Linked DNA regions of Ovis aries. The protein of the gene in region 1 interacts with the protein of each later gene in a biochemical or structural test. Links are inferred from orthologs where the notes say so. Each region holds a gene or a part of one and is shown in the gene's direction. Other genes may lie near its edges.

Region 1 (4,639 bases):
GACTTAAAGAATTCTCATTCTTTGGTTAGAATTTTTATATTATTCAAACTCAGTAGTCAGTAGGGACTGGTGCACCATCTCTGAAGTCATCAGACCATTTATTTTTCCTTATGATTAAGGTATAAAATTCTGTGATTGTATAAGGAGGATGATAGGGGTACTGCATATTCCTAAGGTCAGGGTCCACAGCTGATTTATTTTGGAGTCTTACATTGGGTTTACTTTTTTAATAGACTGTTTCCTAAACATCAGTCCCTTGAATATCAACATCATTAATTTTTGCTGTACCTGTATATTATTATATTATTTGCTAAATATTTTTCTAAAAATCAAATCTCCCTTTTTACTAAGAGCTGCTTCCTAAAGTATAATATTCATCAAGATTGGGTGTAAAGAGCTACCTACATTTTCCTAACGCACATTAAAGTAAAACCACAACCATTAAAACAGAAACTATTATTCTGTGTCCCACCCCCTAAAATTCTCTGACTGTCTTGTGGGGACCCCTACCATAGGAACAGTCTATAAATGTTGAGTTAATGAATGACCATCATGTGTTTCAAGCTCTGCTTTGTTTCTTAGCTCTAGGGGAAAAAAATCTTTGGGACGTTTTCAGTCAAAACTTGTTCCTTCCTTAGGTCTCCATTCTGTCGGCAATGGAACTCATTTGGAACCTTTGTGAGATTCTTTTTATCGAAGTAGCCCCAGGTGAGCACAGAATGATCTTGTCACAGCGGCAGAGGTGTCCCCCTACCCTGTCCTGTGCTGTGCTGAGTGTTTTGTTGCCTAGAATGCTCTTTTCGTTGCTTTTCATCAATATAAGCATTGGGAGGTGTTACAGGATGCCTGAAGAAGCCTGTGTTTTTGTCAAGATACTGCAAAGAGTCAGAGTATCTTCTGAAAACCTTAGTTGTAGGCAGGTGACCCCTAAAAAATATGAAGAAACAGATATTAAACTAGTGTGCGAAAGGGGTGGTCCATATTTATACCATGGACTGGTGAAGCTTTAGAAAGTTTTAGAAGCTCGGGAGAGGTGTGTGCAGGTTCTTCAGCCTCCGAGGGAACCAGCCCTCCCAGCTCCAGAGACTTTTAGCCTCCTGAAACACAAGACAGTACATTTCTGTTGTTTAAAATTTTAAGAATGAAAAATGTTGTACGGATGTGAGGCAAGATTAGGTGGTGGAAGGCAGAATCCCTTAGAGAATTCCTTTGCTGGTGATTGGGTCAGGGGCAACCCTACAGCTTCATGCGTCCACTCTGAATTATTCCCTTGATCTTGAATTTGATTGTGGTCAGTACAGTATCCTGTGGGCAGTACAGTGGGCTCTCTGTGGAGGGGCTGTAGGCCTTTTTGCTTTCTTCTAATGGTTTGTATTTACTGTTGTCCATAAGTGTGTATTAGTAGTCTCTCTGTGGTCACAGCTTTTTATTCATAACTCCTGCTCAAGCACTGAGCAGCCTGAAATTGAATTGGTTGGTTGTCTGCTTGCCTCTTCCAGTAGATTCTGAGGACTGTTGCTGTCTTTCTATCACGTTTGTGTACCTGGCACCTAGTCAGTGCCATCCCCATATGGCCACTGCTGATGTCACCGAGTATTGCGTAGTTGTGAAGAAGCTGGGGGTGGTCGGGCTGGTGAGATCTGGGTCTCATGTTCAGCGCCCCCAACGATTCAGTGAAAGGTTGAGCTGCGTGGCACAGAGGAGGTGCCCACAGAAGTCCATTCGCTAGCTCAGCCCTGTTGTCAGGAGCACACGCCCGCTCACTGAAGAGGGACAGACCACTTCCACCATAGTTCGCTCGCCTGCCCTACATTCTCTGTACTTTGAGAAAGTGGAATCTACTGCTTATGTGTTTCCTCCCAGCTGGCCCTCTCCTCCTGTACCTCCTTGACTGGGTCCGACTGCATGTGTGCGAGGTGGACAATTTGTCAGCAGATGTTCTGGGCAGTGAGAATCCAAGCAAACACGAGAGCTTCTGGAACTTGGTAAGACCCTTGTGCGTGCTGGGCCTCCCTGCCTTCCTCCTCGTATTCTCTTTGGCCTGGGCCCCTGGGCTGGCCTGCGGGTTTCCCTGCTGAACCCGTGTGCGTGTTGTTCTTTGAGTCTGTGATCATGGAGATGTGCTTAGGGAGGCGTGCTTAGGGAGGTGTTTTCTTCCCTGCTCCATGGGAGAGTTTTGAACTAAGTTATCATGTAAGAAAAATAATGCTTTGTAGACTTCACAGTGAGAAGGGAATTTTGATCTGTTTGTGGATCTAAGAATGAGACTTGGTGAAGACAGTGCAAAGCCGATGGATAGGTGCTGGGGTAGGGGTTTGATGTCAGTGAGCTGAGGGCGGTTTTGAGGTGTTAGATGTGTTCTGAAGCTGAGTTGTGATGATAGTGCCCAACTCCATAAACTTACTCAAATTCACCGAATTAGACACTTAAACAGGTAAATGTTTATAAGGTGTACATTGCAATCAGTAAAGCTATTAAAAACAAAGACATTGATGATCCCAGTCATTTTGGATGGTCAGTTTGAAAGTTTGTGTGTGTGTGTGTATTCTATGTCTGGGAGAGCAGTACTTTTCCATTCACCTATACTGACCTATGACCCAGTATGGAGCGACCAGGGCGGAGGTTGCTGGTTGACTTGAATGTTGGAGACTTATATCATCTGAAATTCAGGTAAAGAGCTGCTGCCTTTAATGCTGTTTCTGAGGCCTTCGGGTGCTCCGAGATCTGTGCAGGTAAAGGGGAGAGCCTTTGTTCAGAAATGGTTGGGCCTAGGGTTTAAGTGTGTGATTCATTCACTGTGTATTTGAGTGGTGCTGTGTGCAGGCCCTGAGGAAACAACCAGGACCAAAGCAGGCAGTGGTTCCTACCCTTACGGAACTTGCATTCTGGGTGGGGAGACCGGAAATAAATATAGAAGCAAGTAAAATATGTGTAAAAGCGAAGCGCTCTGGAGAGAAAGAGCAAGAGAGGGGAATTGGGAGTATTAAAGTCGAGGAAGGGCACCCTTGTGAGGTGACGTGTGAGTAGGAACCTGAGGAGGTGACGAGGAGTGAGGGCTCAGCTCCTAGAGAGGCAGTGTGGTGGTGATGCTTAGTCACTTGGTCCTGTCTGACTCTTGGGACCCTGTGGGCTATAGCCCACCAGGTTCCTTTGTCCATGGGATTTTCCAGGCGAGGATTCTGGAATGGGTTGCTGTTTCCTTCTCCAGGGGATCCTCCCTACCCCGGGATCAAACCTGCATCTTCTCATTGGCAGGAGGATTCTTTACCACTGAGCCACCAGGAAAGCCCCAGAGAGGCAGGGTAGTTGAATGCTAAGAACAGGGTCTGTGGTGCCAAGCTGGCCAGGTTAGCATCCCAGCTCTGCCTCTTACCATCTGTGAGCTCTAGTGAGTCACTTGACTGCCTTTAGTTTCTTCGTGTGTGGCCTGGAGAGTGTGACACCTGTCCCACAGAGCTGTTCTGATTCGGTTAGCTGAAGGAGATAAAGGTATGACCTGGCTGATGGACACAGTAGAGCTCCCGTTCTACTCCTGAGTCAGCTGGGGTACAGAGGACATTAGAGAGTCAAACACAGGAACACTGTGATCTGACTTAGAGTTCCTTTTCTTTTAAAAAATACTTATTTGGCTGTGCTGGGTCTTAGTTGTGGCATGCAGGCTCTTTAGTTGCAGCATGTGATCTCTTAATTGCGGCGTGTGGGATCTAGTTCCCTGACCAGGGATGGAACCCAGGCTTCCTGCATTGGGAGCACTGAGTCTTAGCCACTGGACCAGCAGGGAAGTCCCTGATTTAGGTTTTCAAAGGCTTTTCTGGCTGCACTGCTGAGAATAGAGCAAAAGCAGAACGGAGAGACCAGCCTGGAGGCTCAGGTCCTAAATCAGGCAGCTGTGGTGGTAACTTGGACCCGGGTAGGAGCTGAGTGGAGGAGGTGGTAAGAAGTGATTTGATTCTGGATGCAGTTTAAAGGTACAGTGATAGGATTCGCTAATGAATTGGATGTGTAAGAAAGAGAAGAATGTGGGTTGGTGGGTTGGAAGCGACCCGGTGTTCATTTCGAGGCATGTTAAGGTGCCTGTGAACCAAGTGGAGCCATTGGCAACAGGATGTGCGTGTTTGGAATCAGGGAAAGGGACTGGGACTGGGCAGCATGTGTTTCCTTGGCTTGCTTCTTCTTCCTTTTCTTTTGCCGTGGCTAGCAGGATCTTAGTTCCCCAACCAGGAATTGAACCCAGGCCATAAAATAGCATGCAAAAACCTGAACCAAATTTGGCTAACCCAGTATTTGAACTAGAACTTTTTCTTTTAACTGAAACTTTTACAGATCAGTGCTTTATTTGATGCACTTTGGTAATTTTTATTTTCTGTTTCATTTTTAAAAAGTCAGTCACCTGCAGTGCGATACAACAACACGCAGTTTGAAAAGCATGGTACGGGTTGAAACTAGAAGGTTGGATGAATTAAATTACCTCTGACGGAGAAACCATCACACTTCTCCAGGATGAGGAAGCCAAAGCAGGCTGAGGGGACTGGCTGCTGAGCCTCCGCCTGGATGCTGTGTTCTTGGTGTCCTCCCAGGTGACCACCTTGGTGCTACAGGGCCGGCTGGACGAGGCCCGACAGATGCTCTCCAAGGAAGC
Region 2 (5,154 bases), on another chromosome or scaffold:
CACTCTTAACACTGACACTGCACATAAATTTCCATTTCCAATCAAGTATCCTTCCATAAAGTGAATACTGGCAATGTTAGACAGGGCTTTTAAACCTAAACATTCTTTGAACATATATATATATAGCTAAGTTGCTTCAGTCATGTCCAGACTCTGCGACCCCCGTGGACTGTAGCCTATCAGGCTCCTCTGCCCATGGGATTCTCTGGAGGGCAAGAATACTGGAGTGGGGTGCCCTATCCTCCTCAAACATTCTTTACTAAACACTAAGGAGTTGGTGATGGACAGGGAGGCCTGGCATGCTGCGATTCATGGGGTCACAAAGAGTCGGACACGACTGAGCGACTGAACTGAACTGAACTGAAGGACACAATCTCCAACTTTGGAACATTGTGTTTAAAAAAAAAAAAGACTAACATTAAGCACTAACCATGTGCCAGCCAATGTTACTTATTCTCTCACTAATCTTAGTATTCCTAGCCTAGATCTAAGCATATAATATATACTTAACTGGCATTTATTTTTCAAACAAGTAATGATTATTAAGATGAGGGGATTCAAAGACTAAAAAAAAAAAGGTACTGGCCCTCAAGGAGGTTACAAATCGAATTTGGAAACATGAGACGCGAAAAGCTAAACAACCTATAACAATTAAAAATACCACGTGGTAGGGCTGCGATTATTTGCAAAGTCAGTGGCAAAGAAGAATGCTATAAATTCTGACCAGAGAGAGAGTACTATAGACTGCGGTTCCGGTCTCCCGACCAGACGGCGACACTATAGTTCAATTTAAAAAAAGAAAGTGACACAGCACTCATCCCACCCTAAAATTATCATCAGAGGAAGGAATACAATAACTAAAGAGAACGGTGTAAAGAAAACTTCCATACACAGCTTTTAAAGCATACGATGGCCCTGATAAAAGTGAAAACGGGCCGCAGAACACAATCTTTCGCTGGATCTCCAGGACCTCTGAAGGCTCCTGAAACACAGTCTCTCAAGGAGAGCATCCTTCCTCCTTTCTCCCTCAGCTCCCTACGAAGCTTTCCACTGGACAGCCGTCCCAGAAATTTCTCCCAGCATCCGCAGTGACAGCAACTCTCATCTTCCTCTCCCTCCCCTCGCCGGTATCAGACAGTGGCATCTCCCGCCAGGGGAAAAAACGGAGGGCGGGGGGTGGGGGGAGGCAGAATAGGCGAGAAAGCTTGCAGCTAGATTGATTTAAGACGGGAAGAGTAGGTGGGAGGACGCGGGGGTCGAGGGCGGGGTCCTCCCAGCTCCAGCTCCAGTCTCTCGGAGGTCTAGCCAATATCCCACTCCTCCCGCTCCACCCCAGGGCGCGCCCCTCGCCCGCTGGACCTGAACTGGGAGGCGACGAACTCGAGTGACAGCCCCACTACCTGTGCGCCCCCAGCCCCCAGCCCCGTCCCCCAGGCCTGCGGGGAGATGCCTGCCCCCGCCCCACGAGCAGCGGCCCCGGGCTCCTTCTCTGATTCCAGTCCACATCGCCGATGAGTGACAGGTCCCGGGGGAGGCAATCGCCAGCGCTCGCTGGTCGGGACCGCGGGTGCAACCGTGCGCCGAAGCCCTCCAGCACGCACGGGGAGTAGACAGAACGTCCCGGGCGGCCCCAGGGGACCCGGACCAGGCCTGGCCTTCCTCGGTTGCCCCACACCCGGCGGGGGTGGCACTTACTGCGGAGGTTGTGGATCAGCTCCGAGTGGCTGGCGCCGCCGGATTTCCAGGCCATCGCTAAGCACACCCGGAGCAGGTACAGAACCACCTTCAGCGCGGCGACGGTGCCCAGTAGCTTCCCCAAGAGTGAGACCACCTCCCACACGGTCACCGCCCCGTTCTCGTCCCCGCTGGAGCCGCCGCTGTTACTGCCGTCGTCGCTGCTGCCGCCACTGCGCGCTCCCGGCATCCCCCGCGGCACGCATGCGCTCTGTGACGCCGCGCGGCCTCGGGCGCGGCCGGGTGGGGCCGGAGGCGGGGGTGGCTTCGCGACCCGCAGCCCGGGCGAGGGGCCGCTGCGGCTGCCCGAGATTGGCGGCTTGGCCTCGCTGAGTCAGCGCCACCGCCGCCACTGCGTGGCCTTTCTGAGACCTCGGGCTGCGCAGCGCCTCCTTGCTTGGGTTTGCCCTGCGGTCAGGCGGGGTGGGCCGCAGCGCGGTCGGCCGCGTGCCTCGCTGCGGCTCTGGTCACCGAGAGCGGTGGCAGGATGGCAGGGCGGGTCTGGTTCCGAGGCTGCCGGTGGCTCTGCAGTCGTCGCTGGGTCAGCTGTTGCGAGTGGCGGGTCTGCTCCTATAGCTGTCCAGATTGTTAAACGGTGGGCTTCCTCCGTCCTGCCTTCACCCAACCCAATGAATGACTAACATATTTAGGTCGGTTAGAGTCAGAGCTCCCTATGGTGAACACCGAGTATCTTAAACGGAGGGCAAACGTCCTCTCTAACCCGAGTACTCCAGGCTCTAGCTAACAAGTACATTTAGTGGCTGGTTAGCAGAGACTTTGGGACCCTGATTTGTTCTCAGCTCTAAAGCACAAATTCAGAGAGTGGAAGAAGACAGACAAGGGTTGGAGGGTGGAGCACCGAGAATGCTTTGCTCCTTAGGAAAATGCACTTGCTTAAAAACACTACAGTAGCCTGTGGCGACTGTTTTTCTCCTAACACAAGTGGGCGTTTTTAGCTATTTAAGCCTCACAAATTCCACCATTAGACTGGACCCCGGCTTTGCTGCTATCAGCTATGCAAGACACCGAGTGAGAAACTGACAAGGAACATTGCCAGTAGAATCCAACTTGCTGACTCCTAATCAGAACGGAGACTGGAAGGATCCAGTCATTTAGTCCCAATAAACTTTTAAGGAAGGAAACAAAGCTATGTAAAGACATTGATGCTACTGCGTCAGCAACAATGCTCAAATTTTAGTTCTAACCAGACCTTGGCAAATGTGGTGTCTATGTAAGTATGTATGAATATAGTTATATATTAACTATTTCGTGGGATTCTGCGATAATAACCGAAGCAGCATTCTTTACTTCAATATTGGGAATAAATTAGCCAGTTTGGGACTCAAAATTGGAACTGGGGGTCTTCAGAATTACAACTCCAGTTTCTGACCGTGTGTGTTATCATTGAAGAAAAGTACTTGCTTGGGGGGACAGGGAGGGAGAAGTTTTTAATAATACATTGGTACGTTAATGGACGTACTTCCACGAGAATTTAAGGATTTTTAATCTTTTCTATGCGCGGTGAAATGCAAGCCTGCTTAGGTGTAGCTACTAGCTCGTTTCTCTTGCATTGCTTTTATTTTGGTTTTGCTCTTAAATTTGTCTTTACATTGCAAATTCTTTTGCGCCAATGTATTGTCTCGGTGTTCCTATACCGATTTTGCAGATTAGAAGATGGTCCTACAGCACAAGGACGGGCATGCCCTTGCCCTGGTGCACAAGGACGGGCATGCTCTTGCACTGGTTCAGAGCCGCCTTAGTCAGGAAGGCCGTCGCATCTTCTTCGCGTTTGGGGCAGGGTTGTTCGTTCCTGCACTGCGGACGGAGGAGAATTGGCTCTCTGCAGCCACCGTCCCTCATCAGGTCCGGTCCAATCAGGGCTCAGCGAGAAGGGGCGGGGCTGAGTGGCGCGCGCTGTACTTCGTGCTGTGCCTACCTGGGTTCCTCTCAGCATGGAGGAAATTTATGCTAAGTTTGTATCACAGAAAATCAGCAAGACTCGTTGGCGACCATTACCTCCAGGGAGCCTGCAGACAGCGGAGACTTTCGCCACGGGCTCTTGGGACAATGAGGTACCCCTGCGCCCGACCGGGAGTCCCTGCTATCTCCTTCCTTCCAGAAACCGCGCCCCCGGCAGCCAGCGCGCGAACTCCTGTTTCGTAGCTCCTCGCGCGGTTGTCTGTCTCCCGAATGCACGTCTCACGCTCGGTCGCCTTATATCTGAGAGGCATCAGTGGCCTCGTTTCTTGTGTTTTTAATGATTATGCCGTTTGCCCTGGATACTTTTAAAGCAGGGTTGATTGAAGGCAGTGCACATTTCAATTTCGAGGAGTTTGATGTATATTTCATCTCAAAATGGAATTTTCTGCTTTTCAGGAAAATTATGTTTCACTGTGGTCTATTGGAGATTTTGGAAACTTGGATTCTGATGGAGGATTTGAAGGAGACCATCAATTATTGTGCAGTATCAAACATCATGGTGATGTAATGGATTTACAAGTACGTCTGTTGTAATATCCAAGAGCTAACTTTTAAAAAATTGAGAGTAATACATTGAGAGATGTAAAGGACCTTATAGTTTGTCTAGTCTTACCCTGGGTTTACAAGAACTTGAGTTCTCTGTAGGTTATGATTTGTCATGTCATATAGCTGGTTATGGCAGAGTCAGCACTGGGGAAGGGGATGTGAAGTTAATCATAGCTTGTTTGTTTAATTGACCATCTACTATGTGCCAAGCTGTGTTTACATAAGTTAATTTCATTCTCATGGAATGCTGGTGAATCAAGTATTGTTATCTCTCTTATGAGAAAACTAAGATCTTTTGAGCATGGATTATATGACAAATACTGTGCAAGACACTTTACATGTTTTTGCTTTTTGAATTCTCGTTTTATAAGTTTACCAAAGCTTGGAGAACTTAACTTGGCCCAGGTTTCAAATCGGGTAATAACTGGTGGGAATGGAATTAAGTTTTCAAATTCTGATCTGTAAGACTTCAGAGTCCCTGCATTTTCTTCTGTGGAAAGCTGCCTGACCCTGGGAATTATACTCTCCTAAACGTTTATGGTAGTTGTACAAAATTAAATCAATTGTAGATGAACAGGTTTGAGGGGGGAAATTATTGTTGTTTATTCTTCATGAAAATACTTTTATTTGTATAGCAGTTTTGACTTTGGCATTTTATTTGCTTAGCATTTGTAGGTTCTTTGCATTTTAAAATTGTTACACTGCTAATTGAGTTAGATAAATGGGCTTCTTCCCTGCTGATATTTATGAATTTATAACATGCAGGAATTTTCTGTTTAGTTTTTGGACCAGGAAAGAATTGTAGCTGCTTCATCGACAGGATGTGTGACAATTTTCCTCCACCATCCAAATAACCAGGTAAAGAATTTTTGTTTGAAAACTCAGTTTGCATTT

What was found. The genes of interacting proteins can lie anywhere in the genome.
Region 2: the proteins of NUP85 (region 1) and NUP43 form a complex in vitro, tested with the Homo sapiens proteins (2 studies listed by BioGRID). The link is inferred for Ovis aries from reciprocal best matches to the Homo sapiens genes NUP85 and NUP43.

What each region holds. Positions count from the first base shown.
Region 1 is NC_056064.1:55,594,407-55,599,045, reverse strand, and holds part of NUP85 (nuclear pore complex protein Nup85), read left to right. Parts: intron 1-638; coding exon 639-708; intron 709-1,863; coding exon 1,864-1,985; intron 1,986-4,577; coding exon 4,578-4,639. UniProt on the Homo sapiens protein: Essential component of the nuclear pore complex (NPC) that seems to be required for NPC assembly and maintenance. As part of the NPC Nup107-160 subcomplex plays a role in RNA export and in tethering NUP96/Nup98 and NUP153 to the nucleus.
Region 2 is NC_056061.1:74,008,049-74,013,202, reverse strand, and holds the start of NUP43 (nucleoporin Nup43), read left to right. Parts: upstream 1-1,947; 5' UTR 1,948-2,329; exon of another isoform or gene 2,330-2,973; intron 2,974-3,400; 5' UTR 3,401-3,408; coding exon 3,409-3,597; intron 3,598-3,636; exon of another isoform or gene 3,637-3,686; coding exon of another isoform or gene 3,687-3,719; coding exon 3,720-3,806; intron 3,807-4,110; coding exon 4,111-4,233; intron 4,234-5,040; coding exon 5,041-5,118; intron 5,119-5,154. Other genes in the region: PCMT1 (protein-L-isoaspartate(D-aspartate) O-methyltransferase), read right to left, coding at 1,696-1,924. UniProt on the Homo sapiens protein: Component of the Nup107-160 subcomplex of the nuclear pore complex (NPC). The Nup107-160 subcomplex is required for the assembly of a functional NPC.